Linked DNA regions of Drosophila melanogaster. Changing the gene in region 3 together with the main gene of any one other region gives a genetic interaction. Each region holds a gene or a part of one and is shown on either strand. Other genes may lie near its edges. The genes, in order: Sh, Itpr, rut and Lapsyn.

Evidence for each region.
Region 1: of rut (region 3) and Sh, changing one suppresses a phenotype caused by changing the other (phenotypic suppression), as found in Drosophila melanogaster (one study listed by BioGRID).
Region 2: of rut (region 3) and Itpr, changing one enhances a phenotype caused by changing the other (phenotypic enhancement), as found in Drosophila melanogaster (one study listed by BioGRID).
Region 4: of rut (region 3) and Lapsyn, changing one suppresses a phenotype caused by changing the other (phenotypic suppression), as found in Drosophila melanogaster (one study listed by BioGRID).

What each region holds. Positions count from the first base shown.
Region 1 is NC_004354.4:17,987,573-17,992,621, reverse strand, and holds the start of Sh (shaker), read left to right. Parts: upstream 1-1,942; 5' UTR 1,943-2,288; intron 2,289-5,049.
Region 2 is NT_033777.3:5,515,310-5,520,237, forward strand, and holds the start of Itpr (inositol 1,4,5,-trisphosphate receptor), read left to right. Parts: upstream 1-1,807; 5' UTR 1,808-2,579; intron 2,580-4,928. Other genes in the region: Nmdar1 (NMDA receptor 1), read right to left, coding at 709-831, 903-1,079. UniProt on the Drosophila melanogaster protein: Receptor for inositol 1,4,5-trisphosphate, a second messenger that mediates the release of intracellular calcium. Together with MCU, has a role in oxidative stress-induced ER-mitochondria calcium transfer.
Region 3 is NC_004354.4:14,823,021-14,827,741, reverse strand, and holds the start of rut (rutabaga), read left to right. Parts: upstream 1-1,668; 5' UTR 1,669-1,780; intron 1,781-1,836; exon of another isoform or gene 1,837-1,996; intron 1,997-2,814; 5' UTR 2,815-2,953; intron 2,954-4,721. UniProt on the Drosophila melanogaster protein: This is a membrane-bound, calmodulin-sensitive adenylyl cyclase. Inactivation of this cyclase leads to a learning and memory defect.
Region 4 is NT_033778.4:21,191,717-21,199,691, reverse strand, and holds Lapsyn (Leucine-rich repeat activity-regulated protein at synapses), read right to left. Parts: upstream 6,122-7,975; 5' UTR 5,826-6,121; intron 2,085-5,825; 5' UTR 2,082-2,084; coding exon 1,899-2,081; intron 1,672-1,898; coding exon 1,528-1,671; intron 1,463-1,527; coding exon 1,258-1,462; intron 1,201-1,257; coding exon 1,015-1,200; intron 931-1,014; coding exon 775-930; intron 718-774; coding exon 560-717; 3' UTR 261-559; downstream 1-260. Other genes in the region: tud (tudor), read right to left, coding at 7,566-7,975.

The DNA.
Region 1 (5,049 bases), 3.2 Mb from region 3:
AAATCTAATTTTCTGAACTGAAGAATTATAAGTACTGCAGCGACTCTTAGAAGATTGCTCAAAGAGGCTAAAGTATCCAAAATGTTGACAATAAATCCCAATCATTCAAAACCTATAGAGTTTAAGAAACTAGTAAGTGCAACTGTTAGAACTAAATGAGCTTTTATTTTTAAACCCAAAAGACGTTCTTATTTTAGTTTATTAGAAAGATTATAACATTTTCTGGATAACTTCGTCTCATTAAAAAAAAATATTTCAATAATATTAGCTTTTCTCCCTTCAATAAATTGTAAAATGCTATTTGGTAAAAACTATTAAATTATAGTTAAAATTTCACAAACGGTTGTATTTTACAACCTAACCAACTTATTCTCCAAATGCTTTTGTGTGGCTATAAAAGGTTTGCGTTCCGATAAATTTTCGTCCAATAATTTTTCAACGCAAAACCTGCATTAGCAAGGACACCAAAGCTTAAAGCTTTTCTGATTTTTTGAAAATTGAAGAGCTTAAAAGCTTGACTAAAACACAATTTCTGATTTGAAGAAAACTTTCTGATAGCTTTTAAGCTGGGAAAACAAATAGCTACGTCAACTTTGTTGAAGCAGAAGCCAGAGCTTTAAGCTGCGCTTTATCCAGCTTTCCGTGGCCCTTTTCTCTCGCTTTCCCTTATGTTTTCCTTTCCGAACTTTCCCATGCTTTGTTTGGGCGCGCGTTTGTGTGCGTGAATGTGCCATGTGTTTATTTATTAATAATTGCATTACTCATACGCCACGCCGTCCCTCGCTGGAAGCATGGCGTTCAAGTGCACACGTGACACTTATATGCGTGTGTCTGTGTATTACTTGGGAGCCTTTACATGGCCATGTGTGTGCGTCCGTATGTGTGTGAGTGTGCAGTTATTCGCATTATTATAATCAAGTGGAGCCAACAAAAGGGAAGCGAAGGAATAGGCTTCGGAAGGGGGGAGCATAACGAGCCCGGCGGCGTTTTAAAGCACACATTAATAATAGAGGAGCACACCTTTGCCACCAAAGGGTGGTGGTGATGCGGTGGCGAGTTGGAGGGCATGGGGTTGTGGCTTTTGTCGTTTCTCCTTCGATTCGATTTTCTCTTGCTCCCGTGTGCATGTGAGTGTTAGTGTATGTTTGTGTTTGGTTCATTTACAGTTTTCACCTAGTTTTCGTGTTTCGGTTGTTTTGCCTTCGGCCGCCGCCTCAGCGGCCCCTAGCGGCATTTGCTTTGTTTGACACCGCCACTCATCCCCGCCGACGGGCCCCCATTTCCAGTCCAGCCAGGAGCTAGAGCTCCATCTCCAGCGGACGGTGCCCGAGTGTCGCCAGAGTCGCCAGTGTCGCCAATGTCCCTGTGCCCATGGTTCCCGCTCTTCTTGCTCAGCCATGTTCACCCAGGCTACTCTTTGGCTTTGTTGTTGCGGCTCTGCTTTGTTGTTGGTTTTCATTTTATTCATTTCGTTTCTTTTTTTTTTTTTGGTTTTGTGTTTTTTGGGCCTCCTCTGGTCGCCGTGTTCGTGCCAAGTGGCACTAAAACTATTTGCCTTTTGCCCAGTTTTCGTATGCCTTTGGCCAGCGGGAACAGGAGCGGTACCTGCCACACAGCACAGTACAGAACATCGCACATCACACATAGCACACACTCGGCACACACAGAACACAGCACGCAACACGCAAGAGGCGCCATCGGAGTCGGAGTGCAGCAGTGGAAAACTCCGTATAGCTTTAGATATATAGCTATACGATCCAGTCCGCTGACAAAGCCGGAGCCAATGCAGCAAAGCAAATCGCACGTGCTCGCCTCGGCCCAAAATGTTCGTGGCGAGTTCGTGGCGCCCAACGTGGGGCGTTCGTGCCACCGCATTTGGCTCGGCTCGTAGTTCGGCGGTTCTTCTATCGCCGGACACTTTTGCAGCGCCTCAGTTCGGTTCAGTCGTCGCAGTCGCAGTCACGTCGTCACAACGTAATCGTGCAACGCGTTCCGCGCTTGGCGGCGACTGTCGTCAGTCAGTCAATCAATCAGTCAGTCAGTCAGTCAGTCCGTCAGTCAGTCGGTCAGTCAGTTAGTCAGCCAGCTAGTCAGTTAGCTAGTCATTCATTCAGTCAGTCAATCAGTCAGTGTGTCAATCTGACAATTGGAGTTTCTATCCAGACTTCAATATTTTTTTACCTCGCTCAAAACCCCCCACTCGCACTTTAAATAATAAAAAAAAGCAGGTGGTGCGTGCCGCGTAGCCGCGCGTGATTCTTGTTGTTGTTTTTTTTTTTTCGGTGAATGTGAGTGTATGGTTCTCTTTTTTTAAATGGTAACTCTTGTTGTTATTGTTATTCCGAGCTTGGTGCGTGCCGCAAAATTCGAAACACAAGGAGAAACTCCATTTAAAAAAGGCGTTTAAAACAGCTTAAGAAGCCATTTAAGCACCCTTCCACGCGCCACAGAAAAGGGATGAGAAGAGAAAAATACACCAGGACATGATCAGAGGCTCCAGGGGAATCCTGGAGTCCCTCCAACTGTATCGCCCTATCTCCGACTGTTTCTGTGTTTGTTTACCTTAATTAATGCACTGGCAAGCGGCAAATGGACCTGGACACTGCCAACATAATTTGCCTAGGGGGCGCCACTCGAATCTACACTGCTGCAGCCTCCGGTGGAATGATGATTCTGATGGTAGTGGTGGTGGTAGGGGATTGTCCACGCCAACTTAGCCCACTGCAGGTCGAGTTAATTAATATTTCACTCTAGTTAAGGGGGAGAAAGTGGAAAATGGTAGGGATTGGTCGGGTGAAGTAGGTTGAAGTAGGGGTAAGAGGCACCAGTGAAGTTTTGCTTATATAAGCAACTTCAATTCCTATTGCCTTGTGCCATTTCCATTCCCATTCCCATTCCCACTCCCATTGCCATTTCCATTTCAGTGCAATTCGAGTGGCCCAAAAGAGCCAGAAGGAGCAAAAGCTGTAGCAGTAGCCTAAAGAGAAACTGGCAAATTGCTCATACGACGCATTGGCGCCGTCAAAAACTGAACGAGCCACAAAAGCGGAATGAGGAGTGGAATGAGCAGCCGAAGCTGAAAGAAAAACAAGTTGACCCAATTTACAATTGTAAATCAAACTTAAAATCACAGCCAAAGTTAAACAAAAATAGAATGGTGGTCAGTAGCAAGAAGGGCAGGCATGTTTAATTTACAATAAGACAGCCTCAAGGATCGAATTCAGAGATCAATTGAATGCCTCGAAATTAAACTGGGCAGTGGCCTTAATATTTGACCACAAATGAAGGCAACGTATAAATTTTGTATGTCAAAAACAAAAACCCAGAAACAGGAACTGCATTGATTGGATTAATGGCTTATGTTTCGTTGCTTCGACCGTTTTCTTTCCATTGTCATAGAGAGCATATATAAATAATAAATACACGGGCTTGCAACACAATTGTGGGTGAAAGCAGGCTTTTCCAGCAATTCGAGCACCTCAGTATGCAGTGAAAACTAAACAGATGAACGCAAACATTGGAGTAATTATGTTGGGGATTTTGAAATGCATTCATTTTGTGGTTTCATCTTTCAGCAGAGATGAGAGGTTTACCATAACTTTGCCATCCGTATTGTTTGGCAAGTCACTTGGATATCTAGGAAAACTTTGGGCCTTCCGCCCTTCGCTTTCCACCAACCACCCAGTTTTCCCATACAAATTAGTTTGGATTTGGATTCTCGCTCTGTTCATTAATTTGTCTAAGAGCAGCTGAGGTTTTTCCCCGTATTACAACTTGAGCACTTGGGCATGTGAGGTTATTATTCAGCCTCGTCTTTGTATTTTTGTTTAAGCTTCTTTTGTTTTCGCTCCTCCTATTGTTTTCCTCTCTATGTTCCCCGCTTTTTTTACGCCTCATGTTCTCATTGTATTTGCGATTAAATTCAAGTTTGACTCGCACACGCCAAAATTAATTGGGCACTTGAAAAGTTGAACAAGTCGATCGAAAGGGGGGCGAATGGTTGCAGGGGCTAGATGTGCCGTGACGGCTCGACAGCTCAGCCTTCTGTTAACCCTTATCCACTCAGTGGAAAGTGGCAAGGGGAAGGAGAATGGGTGGGAAACCCCTTTGTAATGTTCTAGGCAACTGATTTATTTTGATTGAACTTTGCATGCAAGCAGCTGAGGCAACAGGAAGAACTCCTGAGCTTTCGAGCAACAACTGGCAAGTGAAACATCATAAAACAAAGCCAGTTTGTGGTTGAATACGAATACGAGCACAGCCGCAGGCTTGGTCTTGTTGATGGGTTGGGGGGGGGGGTCTGGTTTTATGGGGGGGTTACTACTAGATTGAGGGGATCGGAGGCCATTCGCACGCACATTGCCTGGTTTTTAGGCGGCAAGGCTTAGGCTTAGCTCCAGCTCAATCGTAAATGCGTCGAGTGTGGTTCGTTCTTCTCCGCACTCTTAACCCCTTTGTGCCAAAGCTGCTCGCCAGTGTGCCAGTGTGTCTGTGTGCGTGTGTGTGTGCAGGCTAAGTGGTTATGGCAACAACAGCGCTAATAAATCCCCTCTGCACACGCCTCTGGTGCTCGCTAAGCTCTCCTAATGCCACTGAGGCAACTCGGCTTTGTCTTTCGAGTTGAATTTGCCCAGTATATGGCGCATATATCGAGTGCCTTTAAAGTGGTCGTCTGTCTTCGCAAAAACATCAGCAGCTTCCCTGATTGAATGGTGGCGAATTTTTATTCTTGCCACAACTCGATATATCTGCCAACTGTTTTGCTCCATTTTGTCTTTCCTGCCACGCTTGGCCATTTAGTTTTGGCCCAATTGCTAACTTACATATGTATATATTTATGCGCATATGTTTGCGGTCGGGCATGAACACACACACTACAAGAAAATTTGGCCACCAAAAATATGCACAGAGTCGTATTTTATATATGCTATATACTTGGTGACTTTATGCCTCATATATATATATATATGTATGTAGTATATGTCTTCCGCAACTATAAAACATTTAATGTTGCAGTGAGACTTTCTGATTTCCTTTACAAAGTTTTTA
Region 2 (4,928 bases), on a different chromosome or scaffold from region 3:
TCAGCTTTAAGTGACGAAGTCTCACACTGAAAGGTGCATTGCACTTTAAGTGCCGAAGTGCTCTTCGTCATTAGGATTTTATGGACACCTTTTTGTGCATAACAGCGATAATTTATTGCACAAGAATCCAGTTTTGTGATTTCCTTCATTGTACATGAGTACAGTGCGATGAAATCACTTATTTCATTTGAATGGTTCTTTACATTTGTACCCAGTTTGTAATATTATATATTTTTATTTAGAATAAGTGACAAATAAGTACCGATAATACTTTAATGTTGCCAAATAGTAGACAATATTGTAAATCACTTAGCTCAACTAAAGACCATCAATAATTAAAAAGATAATTATGATTATAAATCTTAGCTTTCTAATAACCAAACCCCTACAAACTCCTTCTATATATCATTCTGCAAACCTGGTTCATAACAACAAAACGCATTTAAAGTAATATTGTATAATTATAGTTCAATTTGCACATTTAAGCACTCTTTCGCTCTAAGAGCTCCAGTTGGTTAGCTCATGGATATTGGATTCTGCTGGCGCATTACCGCTTGTCATCATCCCATTTCCGAATCATTTCCCCTTAAATTATGGAAATGAATCGAACCAGGTCGGGTTAAACACAGATACGAGTATGTGAGCAGCTTCAAGCGATGGAGGAATGGTCGGAAATGAGCAGGTAATTGCATTTGGCCACCGACTTACCCGATTCTCGATGAGCTTGTCGCACACATTGAAGACCGTCTTGATGGGATTCTTGTCCATGCGGATGGTTTTGTCGTAGTAGGTGACCTTCCGCGGCACATACTGCTGATCGAAGTTGAGGTGCTGCGGTTGGATGGGAAAGCGTGATTATCGCATTCGGATTAGTGGAGCATCCAGTTAGTCAATGGGCTTGCCTTTATTGTGGTGCTAAAGTGCTCCTCGCTGTCGGAATTGCTCAGTACGCCGCCAATGTTGTACGTCGAGGGATTATCCGAGGCAGTGTGCCTCTGGGCGGCATCAATTGGCGCCACCAGGAGAACAATGGCGAGCCCAAACAATGGCCGGCAAAAAACAAACTCAGCCATAGCCATGATGCGGAAGTCTATAGTTTCTGGGGGAGGATAAACGAGGTGTTTTGTGCAACGATTTCAATGGTTTCTCGAGCAAACATCCAGCATTTTCTGCAAGTCGAAAAGGGGAGATGCCGCATATTAATGGCATTTTCCATTTCCCATTGCAGCAATGAGAATGGTCAAAGACAAGATTTCTTAAAGTTTATTTTGCTCATTTTTGAAAAAGCAGAACTTTGAATTCGCGGTGTTTTCTTACATATGTGGTAATGCCAGATCGCGAAAAAATGAATACCAACGCAAGATCGTTAGAGTGACCATTTCATTGTGTTAATAGGCATTAGAAGCAAAATCTAAGTATGTGAGTCGATGAGTGGAAAGATTTTAATCCTCGGCCAATCTATCAACATTGATCTGGAATTTTCAAGCACAGATGACTAAAAAACTATGAATATTTGAATAAGATTCAAATCTCTACCCTGTGCTGCCATGCTAACTAGTATTTAGAGTATGTTAGTATTTTATCCATGCGCTCCCATCTAATTTATCATATGGTTGGTTCTGCGGTTTTCAAACACTTGCTTATGTCATTCCTTGTCAATAGTAAATGCAATTAACGTGTTACTGTCAATAATTCTATATATGTGTGCATAAAACAGTTAAGATGTCAATTACACCATTTATTAACGGCTAACTAGTATTTTTCGCGCGGTCACACTAATCGATCATATGGTTCGACGGTTTTTAAACACTTGTTGCTCGACCGCGCTTTCAGTCGGACGTGTTTTCGCTGGGGTTTTCCGCGTCGGTCCGCCTTATCTGCGCTGCGCTGGCACTTCGTTGGAGTGAGGGAGACGGAGGAGCTGAGCGGTACGGTACACGAAGTCGCGCATGACGCGGCGCTCTGGAAAATTGCATTTTCATACGCCTTGAGCGCGTAATTTATGCCCGAAATGCTGGCCAATTTCAATTTGTTGGCCTAAACGCGACGTGCGTGTGTGGGTGTGTGTGCGTGATTGGGAAAAGTGCGTAGAAATCGACAATCGTTTTGTTTGCCCGCGCTGCTGCTGCGCTGCGACTGCGCTGCTTGTGGGTGGTCAACGGGATCGTGGGGTCGGGAGAGCCGATTGTTGACGTTGTATCGCATGCTGCCTCTCTTTCCCGCAGCCGGAATTGTTTGTCGCGTGTTTTAACGGTTATTTCTTATTGACAAAACCTCCTCTGCCGACGTCGCTGCCCCGGCATTGTTATTGTTATTGTGTGTGGTTTCTGGGCCTTCTTCTTCCTCCTCACCGTATTCCCACTTATTGTTATTCTCTCTTTTCCGCGGCTAAGTGCGGCCCACTCAAGGTGAAAATATATTAAGTTCTTTCGAGTGCCCGCGAGTGTTTGCATTTGAATAAAATAAATATAAAGTCAAATTCGATTTACGATCGTCGTCTATCGACGGATGATTCAATACCAATCACAATACAGTAGCACATCTCTACAAGGGATATTTTACATTACATACATTCTACGGTGAGTATCCCACGACAACGACAACGACAACCTGTTGCCAATCGAGCCCAGTTACTGGTTTTTCTGGTTTCCCGAAGGGCTTGCCACCAATTTAAGTAGGTCATAAGGCAATAAGCCTATCACGACCGAACCGATAGGCTAATTACCGCGATAGCTATTATCTAGCAGTCACGCCCTCGCCTTTTGATCCCACTTGATTTTGATTTCGTTCTTGCCTCTTGCTTTCGCTCAATAATTGACAATAAGCCAAAGCGAAAGGGCCAGAAATGCGCTGAGATTCAATTACGTTGCAGTGGCCACTATTTGTTGCTTACACGAATAGAAAAGCTAAGGAAAAAACATATAAATCCCACTGATTGAAGACATTTGCTTATCGGGGGTATGGTTCTATGCCAGCTACTCAAACAAAATATAAATAAATCCTTAGGGAATCAACTCCGAAGTCAAGTGTTGATTTCAACTCAAGCCACTATGTATATGAACGTGATGCTTTCCAAAATTGTTTTGTGGTGAGAGGGATTGTTTGTTGTTATACAAAAATTCTTCAAATGGGAGTGTTTAAGAATTATAATGACGAAGTAACATAGTCATAATTAAAACTCGTATTTACTCGTAGAGTGAAAGGGTATACCGGATACATATATTATTGATCAGATCGAGATTTCGGGATCTATAAAATCTAGATGTGCAAGTTTAATTCACAACGTCCGCGCCCACTCTAACGCCCACAAACCGTTCAAAACAGTCACGCCCACAGTTTCGAGAAAAGTTTGGATTTTTTTAATCCTAATATTTCTTTGTCAGTTCCTAAAGTTATGCAAATCACTTTTGGAAATTTCTCACTTGACGTCCTCTGAACTGAATGCATCTGCGTTCGAGAAAATCAACTTAGCGCCGATATTTTCTCTCAGTGCACACATCTTGATTGCAGACAGCGGAAAAGAGAGAGAGAGCGAAAGGGAGAGAGAGAAAGAGAGATGCTGACTGGGCGACGCGTGCTTAATTAAGCGCCACATTGTTGTTGGTGTTGACTGGGCAGGTGGCGAGCTATAGAGTAAGAGGCAAGATGAGGGATACCAAAAAAGATGGGGGAGGGGGATGAAAAGTGGACGTGTTGAGCCTGCTGCACGCGATGATTTCCATTACCTGGGGTAAAAAAATGGCTTTTCATCGCCAAATTCCTCTCTGGCCAAGTTTTTTTGTTGCGATTGAAAGAGCGCACTTCACTACTTCTTGATTTGCATGTAATCATGATTGGGTTAATGGGCCTATGATCACACAATTACGATCAATTATATTCACATTATAATGTCGAACAAATTACTAAATTATACAATCAATGGGACCAATAGATAGTATGTGCAGTGAGTTTCATTTATTGAAGATAACCAGTCAATTGAGATGTCATTTGCGGGTACTTTGATCAACCGGCTAGAAAATGTACATATATATTCTAATTTTTAAACGCTAGTTCGGTATAGTATTAAAATTTTTTTGATTATTATGTTTTTGTGCAATTATATATGTATATTTAAAAAAAAAAGTTGGAACTTGACAACTATTTTCTCTTTAACCACGATTCAGATGTCATCAATTTTAATATAAAGAGTTAAAAAATTCACAATTTGTTTTTGTTATTCTCTCAGAATCCCTCAACTGTAGTTGATAATTCTCCAAAAGTTGTCGTATAATTGCATTTGACATACTGATAACGTTTGTGCATGATTTTTAATCAATAAATTTTACCAACCAGCCAAATTTGTTCAGTTTTGCCACTTGTCACCATTTAAACAAACTGACCACAAAGATATTACATTAAATAAATAAAACACATTGAAGATTCTCAGGTATGCTTATTTTTTTGACCACAATCGTGTGTTTGCTCCAATTTATGTGGGCTTGCCATGAGCATGTGCATAATTCGAAGCTGAATTGAGCAGCTGGTGGGGATTTTGTGGAAGGGGGGGCGGTAAAGTGGCCGGGGTTGGCGCCTGGGAGCGCCAGCAATTAACATAAACAGGCAAATTGTGTAAGCGACATTCTGGAGCTGCAAATAAAATATAAGCGCCCGCCCCCCGCCCATCCGATGTGCACAGCCCACTTGGCTGCAATTATTAAGGGTGTGTGTGTGTTTGTTCGGATGCGGAGGTCGGGTGTTATCAATGAAGCAGACTGGATGAGAAGCAAAGTGTTCTCATCAGCGCCAGTCTGGTGTGATTGTGTGAGTATCTGTGTGCTTCACGTTTTTTCTGCTCAGGTGGGCCGAGGTCTCTTGGCTTTTCAATTGCTTTGAGCCACCAGACAGGGCCCAGACTTTTAATGAATGGCCAAATTGTTGAAAGGCGCGCT
Region 3 (4,721 bases):
AACCGCCTCACCATCACACACACACACACACACACACATGAATGCGGTGATGGGAAAAGTCACTTTTAAATGAATAATTGCAATATAGTTCATAGATAATGATCGAAAGTGCCACAAGAAGTATTTAAAGTTTCAAAACTATGCACTATTTTTGAGCATTTTTGTAACGGAATTTTCGAAAGTACCTTTCTTCAATTTAGAAAACTCTTGTTTGGCCGCTGACACAACTTCCCCCATCACTGCACGCATACAAATATGAAAATTATGGCAAAATTTTACTCTATGAGTATTAGGGCATACTTACGATCGATCCAAAAAATCCAATTAGTCAAAAGCGTAGCGTACATATCATTCAAATACAAAAAGACATCAATCCCAGGTGGATCGAAATGGATGCGAGATGATGGATGAGCCAGCAGGAATCTTTTTAAATCCACACCAACGCACTCAGGCACGTGTGGCAAACTATGTTCTAATCCTAAATAAATGATGTGCAATAATTTAGTTTATGTAGTGGCATATACATAATTAAGAAAGTTACATTTTATGCTGTTTACAAAAAGCAAATAACTAAATGCTAGTCAACAAAAACGAAATCAGTTTAATAGTTTTAGTGTGTACGAGCTAAATATTCGGCAAAATGATTTACAAGAAACCCACAAAAATACATAAGAGTGTACAAATAATGGTAAATGTGGTGTGCACTGAAAGAAAACGAGGAGTGCGTTGACAATTCGCACCAAAAGCCGAATCAGCAATATTACTTTATGGAGACATTTGAAATACAAGCGACTTGCAAATTGTCCGCGAATTCTTCGGTTTTCTTCTGTTTGCGCCACTGAGTGTTAAATAATTGCATATATAAATACCTGCATAAAATTATATGAAGTGTATTATACAAAACTGAATGTTTCATTTCGAAAACTGGGCAGTTAGTGAATAAAATGGGGCTGCCATTTTTAATTGGTAACTATAAAGCTTTAGTTTCATTCTTTGTTATAATACGTAAAAAATCAACTTTAAAATTGACTAGTTTGTGTTATGTTATTAAATAATATAGCATTGCCTTTTAACGGTTTTCTATTTTAGAAATTTCATTTGACCACCATTCTTCAGCCTTTTGGTATTTTCTAGTTTAGTATTTCCTACCAAATAAAAAACTTATTCTATGATTATGCCCATTAATTTTTACTCAAATCCCATTTAAAATTTTTGATTAATTGGTGTATATTTTAACTTAATATTAAAAACTATATTCAAAATCAATAAGTAATCTATAATAACACAGTACCTAGAAAACCAGCTGATTGCTGATAATATGTAAGACATGGCGATAGACTTTTGAAAGCTTTTGCATTTCAACTTTTATTCGCCATACAAGTTGCATATAAGTGAACATGTACGCATTAAGATCAGGAACTTTAAAAACCACAACGTTCGATCTCCATCTATCAATTTGAAATTGGTATATATTGTAAATAACGCTGATAATAGGATTTAAAATCACACCAGCTGATATACGATATATCGATTGGGCTATCGCAAGCAGTGGCGCCCCATCTCTACGATAGTGCTTTCGCTGCACGCCGACGAACGCTTCGTGCAACTTCGTGCAGCTTCGTGCCACTCGGTTCGCAGTGGTTCGCTACGAACCGCCGACGGACGCTTTAGTTTGGCTGCAACGCTTTGCTGAGAACAGACCAAATCCGAAGCGAGCGGAGCCGAAGAGAAACCGAACAAACCAAACAAACCAAGCCAAACAATCCGAAGAAATCGCGTCGTGAGTTGTGTGGAAGGAAAAGCGGTTAAATAACGCGGCGATCTTAACTGTTGTTCTTCTTTTTTTTTTTCGGTGCTGGTGTATTTGCACATTCTACTTTTTTTTTCGTTCTATAAAGTGCCACTTTGTGTGTCTCGCTGGTCGTTTGTTTTCTTTTTGTCGTGGGAAATGCGCGCGCGCATTTAAGAAGTGGCAGGAAAACTCCAAACGCAGCTGGTAAAGATTCAAGTTTTCCAAAAAAAAAAAAAAAATAATAATAAAAGAAAACCAACAAGAAAAACCGAAAACCCAAAAAACAACAAAAAACACGAATGCATTGCCAGCAGATGATAAAGAAGGAGAGCAAGAAGAAGAGCGCACCGCGACGCCTTCTGCTGTTGTGGTTGTTGTTGCCGTTCTTGGCCGTGTTTGTTGTTGTCGTTGTTGCCGCTTTTATCTGCATTGTCTTGCGTCTTAACTCGTTTCGCTTTGGCCTTTTCGGCTCTCCTCTCTCCCCGTTTTCCACACTCCCCCACTCTTCTCATCATGCCAATGCGTGTGTGTGTGTGTGTGTGTGTGTGTGCCGTCCATGGATGCGCTTTGCCACTGGCTTTTCCCTCTCTTCTCCACGTTCCTCTGTCTCTTTGCCACACACACGCCTTTTTTCGGCTTACGGCGGCGGCAGCAGCGGCAACAACAACAACAACAAGCTGCCGCAAAAAATCGATAACGGTATTGGCAGCGGCGGCAGCACAAGAAAACGGCAACAACTTCCGCTTCCCCAAAAGTTGCAAAATGTCACCTGCCCCAAGGATTAGATAATCAAAAAGGGCACGCGAAGAGAGAGAGCAAAGAAAAGCAATAACCAAGGGAGAGAGAGAGAGAGAGAGTGTGTGGGAGTGGGCTTAGGCTTGGGCTTGCCACGCCCCCCGCCTTAAAGCGTGGCTGTCACAATTCTTGTTTTAATTAAGAGCCAAACATTCAATTACAACTCGCTTGCTCTCTCACTCGCTCCCTATCGCTGTCTCATTCGCACCCTCTTACTCTCCGCTCAGCCATCTATGCATCTTGGACCTACAACAACAATAATAACAACAACAACAACAAGAGATACAGAACAAGGAGGCAAAAAAGTAACAGAAGAAGAAGAAGCAGCAGCAGTCAACTTGCAACACAATCGTTGTTGCTTTTTGGGTAAGTGTTTTCCTTTGACGAAATTCAGTTTGAGATACTAAGATACTTTTGCATCTCTGAAGTACATATATACGTAGTTATGGATAAGATACACATGAAATCGGGAGAAGGTTGAAACGTTTTTATTCATTTTAATATTTAATACAAATTAGAATATGAGTAAAGTAAATATTATATTTTCTCAATACATGTATATAAAATTTAATATTTTATTGAAAAGAAAGAAAGAAAGAAAGAAAGCAAAAATAGAATGAAAAATATAATCGAAAATCCTATTTAAATAACATGAATATTATTATATATGTAGAACTGAAATTTTATCCAAAAAAGGAAAATAAAATTAATATTAGTACTAACTACTTATAGCGTTTTTCATAAACAATTATTATCTTTAAATTGTTGTTTAACTAGATTCCAGTTGGATATAACACAAATCCGTCAACTTTAACTGCTGATCGTTATTAGCTTACTTTTTATTGTTTCGATAAAAAGTAAGACTTTTAGTTTATGACCAATCATTTTTACGATGATCATACATTTATGGCTATTAATAACAACTACTTAACTGTGTATTTGACTAACTAATGACTTGACTAGATAATTGTAGCTTCTAAGCCAGTTTAAATGGCTTCTATTCATAGATTTTCACTAGGGATTTCGAATTATTTAGCTCATTTATTATCTGAATCATTAGGGCGATGGCTATAAATAATTGCAACCCTTTTAACAAATTGCCTTTAATATTATAGTTTTAAATTGTGTGTGCTGCAGCAGCTGACACATGTGTTTTCTTTTCGCCCCGCCGACTTTTCATATTTGTGTTTGTTGGAATATACTATTCAACCTACAAAAATAACGTTAAACAACACTACTTTATATTTGATATGAATGGCCACACCTTTTATGCCATAAAACATATTGTAAGAGAATACCACTCTTTTTATTCCTTCTTTCCTTCTTGTACGTTTTTTGCTGTGAGTAGGTCGTGGTGCTGGTGTTGCAGTTGAAATAACTTAAAATATAAATCATAAAACTCAAACATAAACTTGACTATTTATTTATTTATTAAGAAAGGAAATATAAATTATAAATTACAACAGGTTATGGGCCCAGTCCATGCCTAATAAACAATTAAATTGTGAATTAAAGATTGTGAAAATAAATTGTGAAATAGCATTTTTTTCACATTCTTGTGAAATAGCTTTTTTTTTCACATTCTTGTGAAATTATTTCCTTCTCAGAATTTGAGTGAAAAATGGACAAGGCTAAACGTAATATTAAGCCGTTTGATGGCGAGAAGTACGCGATTTGGAAATTTAGAATTAGGGCTCTTTTAGCCGAGCAAGATGTGCTTAAAGTAGTTGATGGTTTAATGCCTAACGAGGTAGATGACTCCTGGAAAAAGGCAGAGCGTTGTGCAAAAAGTACAATAATAGAGTACCTAAGCGACTCGTTTTTAAATTTCGCAACAAGCGACATTACGGCGCGTCAGATTCTTGAGAATTTGGACGCCGTTTATGAACGAAAAAGTTTGGCGTCGCAACTGGCGCTGCGAAAACGTTTGCTTTCTCTGAAGCTATCGAGTGAGATGTCACTATTAAGCCATTTTCATATTTTTGACGAACTTATAAGTGAATTGTTGGCAGCTGGTGCAAAAATAGAAGAGATGGATAAAATTTCTCATCTACTGATCACATTGCCTTCGTGTTACGATGGAATTATTACAGCGATAGAGACATTATCTGAAGAAAATTTGACATTGGCGTTT
Region 4 (7,975 bases), on a different chromosome or scaffold from region 3:
TCTAAGCCTGTAAAACCATTGCATACTTGTTGGCCGTGATGAAAAGGCTTCACCACCAAGTCGGTTGCAAAATAGCTTGCCTACTTTCAGGCTGATGCACTTTAAATTGATTTAGGACAATTTTTAAGTTAAACTAAAATAAATAAATAACGATATATTCAAATAATGTATATCTCTAATATTTTTCCTTATTCATAAAAATACATAATGTTGTTAAGAAACTAAATATCCAAGTCTAAATACAAACTCAATACAGACTTCTTCTTTAAATCAACGTTTTATTGTCATTCGTTATAAAAAATCCACTCCATTGCTGGCTTAAATCTATGTTACGTATTAAACCAAATAAATAAGCGATGGCTTTTGAGCAAGGCAATATTCTTTGATGGCGCTGTTTTTGGTTTTTGGTGATTTTGTGTGATTTTTGGTAAAGGATTCAAGGCAGTTTGCTAGGTAGACGGTTGTCCTAAGGCTAAACTAACGCATAAATGGTAGGTAATAAATAACTGGCACCTAAGACTAACTAACTAACTAAGCAACTAATTAACTAACTAAAGTGCTATTTTCGGGCAATATCACAGTGCAGAGGCTCGTCCTCCGGCTGACGGTTGTTGATGGCGTTTCTGGGCGAGATCACAAACGGCTTTCGCTTCTGGGCATTCCTCTTTCGTCGCTGGGCTCGTTTTCTCCTACAGTGTATCACGCAGAAGATGACAACTGTGGGAGGTGGGAAATGTATTTACTTATGTCGAATAGAACTAATTCGTAACTCACTTAAAAGCACAAAACAAACTCCGCCAAAGCAGCCAGCTCCAAAGAGCCAGAAGCTGCGCGTTTCGGCAAACTGCAGTGTCGTCTGGCAACTGGCGAATGTTGGCGAATGGATCGTTCGATTGTAGGGCAGTGGACACTCGCGGATGTCGAGCGCCTCTGAAAATGGAATTGCAAGTTGGTCATGTGCCAAAAATAAGCAGCTGCTCCGACTGCAGCGCCATCATCGCCATCACTACTTACCCAAGCAAACTGGCACGAACTTCGGACTGGCGCCGAGCATCATAAGATGGTTGGTGACCTGCTGGCAGCCACACTGGCTCAACTGCGACTTGGTCAGATCGATGACCTGCAGGTGGCACATATTCGCCAGGCTGTCGATCCTGAAGTTCTGCAGCGGATTCATCGAGGCATTCAGTTGCCAGAGTTCTGAAGAGAATCGTTCAATATTAGATAGATTCCATATATCTACATATCTCTGCTTACTTGGAAGTATGCCCAGATCGGGTAACTCCTGTAGCTCGCAACCTGCCACGTTCAGGTACTCCAGTGGAGCACGAATGGGCTTCTCCAGTGCCTGAAGATTGAGGGATGTTAGCTCATTGCTATCGATGTATAGGTTTCTCAGTCGCGGCAGCTGGAACAACTCCAGCGGTATCGTTGTCAGTCCATTATTCGAAAGATCAATTTCCTGGGAATTTCGATTAAGAAATTAATTAAAGACACACTCGTTGATTAATTGGATGTCGTTGTTACCTGGAGCGAGGTGAGTGGCTCGAAGGTTCCCACCTCCACCGATAAGATCATGTTATCATAGAGCATCAGAAACTTAATGTCCGTGTATCGCTGAAACGAGCTAGTTTTCAGCTTCCTGATGCGATTGTGCGATAGATCCAGAACCTGCAAAAAACATTCAGCGAATTGTCAGATCATTTAATTTCAGTAGAGAGTTTTGAATGGCATGGGTAGGGTTCCCATACACATCGACTATGCATGTCGGTGTAATGGATAAATTTATGTTTGTGGGCAACTTCTTTATTCTTTAATTAAGCTCAATTGAGGCTAACTGTGACGAGGGGCCCAGCAATGACCAAGTCTGATCGCCTGACCCCTCGATCGTTACTCACCTCCACCGAACTCTTGAGGTTCTGTGGCACCTCCTTGAGGTCCAAGTCGTAGCAACGAATCCGGAGCAGCTTATCGATATGGCCGTACGTGCACTTGCGCACTTCCGACTGAATGATGAATCCGGCGGAATGCAACAACTGGAGGCACACGATGAACGTCAGCAGCTGCCAATGCAGTTCCATGCTCTGCCAAAATAAATTAACATATATACATATAGATGAAAATGTAAATCCAAACGATGGGACTTCATTTCGGCGCTAACTTGTTTATATTCTTGATTAAAACTAGAACAATAAATTTAAGCAAACAATCGCCCATGGGCTCGTCAAAGCGTTTATTTTCGAATTAACAATTTACAAGATCATTGCCGATCGCTGGGGGTCTGGGTCTGGGTTTTGATTGGTTTTTGGGGGTGAATGCGGACTCGCATCCAAAGCTGAATGCATTCAATCAAGCGGATCTACCGCACCTGACAGATGGAATTAAACCATGGCAGCTCAGATACAGATACAGATACAAACTGAGCTCAAATTCGAAGCCTAGGTCAGCTGCTGTTGGCCTGCGTATACGCGATATTCATATTACGTATACGTAACACACAATCAGTGTCATTCCCGCTGCATTCATGCACATCAACAAAAGATGATTCCGCATTGCGGCGGCGGAAACATTTGGCGGCCCTATAATAGTAATAAAAGCAACTAGCCCGAAAAATAACTGACTCACTGCCATTTTGGGAAGCACTTGCCATTGCTCCAATATCTTATCGTGCGGCGTGTAAATCTTTTGATTCTACATCAAACAGCAAAAGGGGTAGCCATAAATCAAACAAATATTCCATTAAAATGCCTTTATGGCTCTTTTCAATATGTCAGATTCACAAAAGCATTTCCCGAAATTTGCCAAAAGCAATATAAGTGTTTTTGGTGAAAATGAAAGCCAATAATCGATTATGGGCCAGAAATAGGAATGCTTCGACGTGATTTATACCTCAGGATAAGTACATATATCTAGACATGATCTAAACATGTAAGCCCACTCGGTATGCACATTTGGGAATTGGAAATGGCCAGAATCCATTGTTAATGTCTCTGTTACGCCCCATTGAAGGGCAATTAGAAAATTGCACGTTTCCCAACTTTGTATCAGCTGGCTTTGCGTGATTTTGCATTGTGAAAAATGTGAAAATGAAAACCGAACAACATGAGTAATGTCTTGAGTATTGTAATTTTCCATTTGTGACATTCGGGCTAATTGCTGTCGCAGCTGAAGTTTTCATCATTTCGCCCAACGAAGCTGAAATTCCCGTGAAATCAATTGCGGGTCAGCAAAAGTGGATAGTTCTATTTACACGAAGCTCAAACGCTTGCTTACCAATGAATGATGAACGACGTCGTAGATATCCATCCATATTGGCAAATCACTTTGAGCCCGTCCAAGTGGCGGAATTAAGACATATGGAGCGCCCAGTTGGCCGATAAGATCTTGGCCTCTTGCAAAGGCAACAAAAGAGTGCTAATCAATTATAAAGTTAGTAACCATTCGTCGTTGCTCATACTAGCTGCGTTGGCTTGGAAAAATTTAAGTGATTCATGGTCCCCATTTAGACATCATGATTCGACCATTTATTAATTTTTGCCTATTTTCCAGCTAGCTGAAGTGTCTTGGCCTTTGACCAAAAAATGTTGCGCTCCACTTGAGAGGCATGTGCTCACGAAATGAAAACATAGAAAATGAAAAACAGTTTCTGCCAATATGTTTGCTCCACTAGCGGAAGCGTGGCGCACACTTTTGCCACCCAGTGTGGTGCGGCTACCTCTGTCATTAGAGCCGCCTGTCGAATCAGCGAAAAAACGAAGCAGAAAATATCAAAAGAAATATTGAAGCGATTTCCACACACATTCTCTTGGACTGACAGCAACCGCAACAATGGCTATAAATATATTTCATATATTTAAATTAAAATTAACCAGAAAAGCCCAAAACAGTGGCCAGAATGAGATGGCAGCATAAACAGTGGCGACCAAATGCAAACTTTTGGATTTGAGGAGATTGCATCGCATCCCCCAGCTGACTGACTTTATTATACAACTTTTGTTAGGGGGCTGGGAATTCAAGGAAATTGGCCATAAAAAGGGCTAATGCCAGGCACCAAATGGTAGATCCACTTGGCGGCTATGGCCATAAAAGTGATCCCGTCCCGCAAATCAAATGGTGAATCCGAATTAGCCTTAGATATTAGTTCTTTGCGAGTTGGAATTATTGGTTGGGGTCACAATTTATGTTTTTCACTTTCGCCGCATTTGTTCAGCTTCAATATTTATTTATATATTATACCCAATCAGGCGGCAGACCAGACAAACAATGCCATGGAAAGGCGAATGGGGTGGCAGAAATGGGTTACGGATCGGAATGGTCCAAGGCGCTAGCGATTCATTCACCCAGCTGCCCGTATCCGACTGTCGACCAACGGATTGCAGCCTGCCCGATATGATAAATATGACGAGGAGGGATTATTTATCTGTTCGCCGAGCCAAGCGATTATTGGACTAACAAAACGCAACATGAAATCGAAAATCCCCCACCACAAAAAAAAAAAATCGGAAGATAAAAAAAAAACACGAAATTAGTATCAAATATTTTAATAACATTCTAAACATTTGTGAATGGATTTATGTGCTCTTGTGATAGTTCCTGTCACACATTGTGGGCGTCGCAGAAGTAGGCATATATTATCGGCTATACCCCGTCCGATCGGCATATATATCTTTCAGCTCCACCCCCTCCCTGGCCGACCCCCAACAGGTGTGCGTGTGTGTGTGTGTGCACCGGAGGGCCCCGAGATTTATTCACATTTCTCGTTGCTACGATAAAGATTTATTTGTTTGGACTCTTCTCTCTCTCTCTCTCTCTGATGCACTGATGAAACATTGCTTTGAGACAACCTTCCCATCTGGGCTACCTTCTCATTACCACCCACCTCCCAGAAATGCCATTGGGTAACAATCATATTTTCCTCAAAAAAAACCGAAGCTTATCAGAGTACGTCAAGTGCTCTTATCGTGTAAGTCCCCATTCTGCTGATAGCTTCTTTCAAAATTATAACGGCGATGCCAAGAACAATAAAAAAAAAAATTAATTGAAACGGCCCCGTAAAGATTGGTGTAGCATAAAAGAGCGTTGTTCATTTATTTCAATTAAACACAATCAAGAAAACATTTGCCCAGGGACTGAAAAAAACAAAAAAAAAAAAAAACAAAAGTATCCAAATACAGTGACTACTCTACTTTATCGGAATGCCAGTCGAAAATATCATATTTCGATCATGTGTTTATTATTTAAGAATATGACATTTTGTATAACTTTTCTTTGTTGAGAACGTTTCCCTATTCTCGAGGCTTTGATTACTTTTCCAGAACACACTGGCTGTAAAGATTAGTCTGCGCCTTGATAAGCAGGTGTTCCCTACGTGTTTTTACCACAGTTAATTACTGAATAAACAGCCCTGCTGAAGCGTTACTTTTAGTAGATACACACAGCAAGTAGTATATAGTATATAGTGAAACTTTTATTTTATCTGCAAGATATGTGTGCTACACACACAGAGAAAGGCTCACAATTGCCGTTGTGCTGCCTCCGCTAATTGAAATCAATTTAACTTGGATTCTATCGCATTATGCTGTCGTGGAGACTCTTTTGGTTGCATATAGAGCATATAGAATCCAGAGACTGGCGCACATTTCAATGCTAAGTTTCCTGATTAGAAAATTCAATATAGCTTACACAGCTGTTGTGCAATCTAGTCGTAGTACTATGTGCACCATTCACGATAACCCGCCAGACCCCATAATACTACCATCAAGAAAGCAAAATAATCAACAAAAAAAAATCAAAAAAAATCCAAACAGATTTTTCCGTCCGCTTACCGCTGGGGAAATTCAAGTGTTCAGGTATAATCCCATTTAAAGTCGGCGATGATAATCCTAGTAAAATGGCAGGATTCTTGTTAGTTCACTACACACACATCACTCTATGCTCTTCTAGGATTCTTCGATTTTCTGTGATCTTTATATATTTTATATATATGTAATATTCAAACAGCTTTATATGTTATATTATCAATATTTTTTAGTTATGATTACGCCGTAGAATGTTATAGCAATCGTTACGGAGCGCGCACGTTGGCCGGAACCGTTCAATTCAACCGCAGACACAGAATTGAAACGATCGTTTCAGTTTTTGGCCTTTCGGACTCCGACAATCCGATCGCCCGAGCAAAGCACACCGAAAAATGCTGATAAAGCGGACGCACGCTCCCAGATGACACTGCACTGCACTGTGAAAATTCGGATGGAAAATTCGGAGTGGAGAGAGAAGCGCTCTCTTTGATAACAGCAATGGAAACTGATACACTCTGCGACTGGAAATTGAATTGTTTTCGGGATTTTGACAGTTCAAATGTGGATATTTCTGATTTGGCCGGCCACTCATTCAATTAGCAAGCGATTGATAATCGAAATTGATACAGAGGCATCTAATGAAGCATCCACGCCAGCTGACAATACAGTTGTAAACGCGTATGAATGATATCGCAACTAACTAAATGAATGTGAATGATATCGCGGATAGTCAGCAATGAGAGCTTGATCCGTATCATAAATGTGGGCAGACGACTTAATTCTCTTCTTATCAACAGGTAAAATTCCCAGGCACCCGTAGATCTCCTCAAGCACGGACATGAGCCCTGTCCGTCCGTTCGCCACTTTTCCACATCGTAATCCAATAAATCCCCGACTGACGACCGCTAATTGCTACCTGGCACCGGGTCTGGAACTCCAGGTATAACTACCAGGTAATAATATACGCTCTATATGGCATTACTTTTCATCGTATTTATTGGTTTGTTTTAATATATTGTTCACAACATGAAAAAGAAATAGTAGAAAAATATGACATTGTGATTGAAGGTTTTAATACATAAACCCATATTCCATTAGTTTCCTTTTAGTTTCCTTAAGTCTTCGATTTGCAATGTTTCTTGTTTGTTTAGGTAATGAAAAGTAAAAAAAGTACGAAAAACATATGTGATTCTTCAGTTGGTTAATCGAGAAAAGAAAGTACAAATACAGTTATAAAGGGAAAAAATAAATAATTCATCTGGAGGAGGTTTAAACTTCACTCCACTTCTCTTCAATTCGCCAACTTTCGTTGATGATGTAAAATTGTTTTAAACAAGGTTGAGCAATTAAATAAATCGTCATCCGCCTTAATAGCTACTAACATATATAGGTTAGTGCCAATTTTATCTAGATTACATTTTTTTTTAAAGTTTTTTTCAATATTTTTCGTTTGTTTTTATACATTTTTTTTCAATGATTTTTCGTTTTTTTTTTTGTTCGATTTTTTTTCGTTTTGTTGTGTTTTTGGTGATAATGTTTTGCATTCCGTATTGATTCTTTAATTAATATTAAAAATTGCTTTCATTTTGGTTTTCCATGAAAAGTCAATGAAGCATCTTGGCTAATCGTGTGGTGTCCTCCTCTTCCCTTTGAATAAGTTTAACTCGTTCAACTTAATGGATAATACATCGCATGTTTTTAGCCAACCCAATCACAATCTCCTGCATGGAGCACATATGAGTCCGATCTGACTGTACAACGGGGTGATCACTGACATTCCTGAAGCTTCTCGCTGATGTTCTTGCTCTGGTAGAAGAGTCGTACGACATGGGTGCCAGTTCCCTTGGTGGCCAGAATCTCTACCTGGAATGTTTCAGAGAAGCGAGTGTCGATGAACGACTGGAGCAGGGCCGCGTCGCACTTGGATATGGTCGACGCATCCAGCTCGCAATGCCTGCTGTATCGCGCCGGCTTGGCCAACTCCTCAGGCAGCTGGCGGAACTGCTGCGTCACGGCATTGTTGCCAAAGTCAATAAAATGCACCTCGCACTTTCCGTCATCCAAAACCTTGCGAATTTGGGCGCGATAGAAGACCTCGTCCTCCGGGAACTGAGCCACACACAAAGCTCCCTCTTTGAGGTCGCTAAAGGCGGGTAGGTCCTGTTCTGCATCGAGCA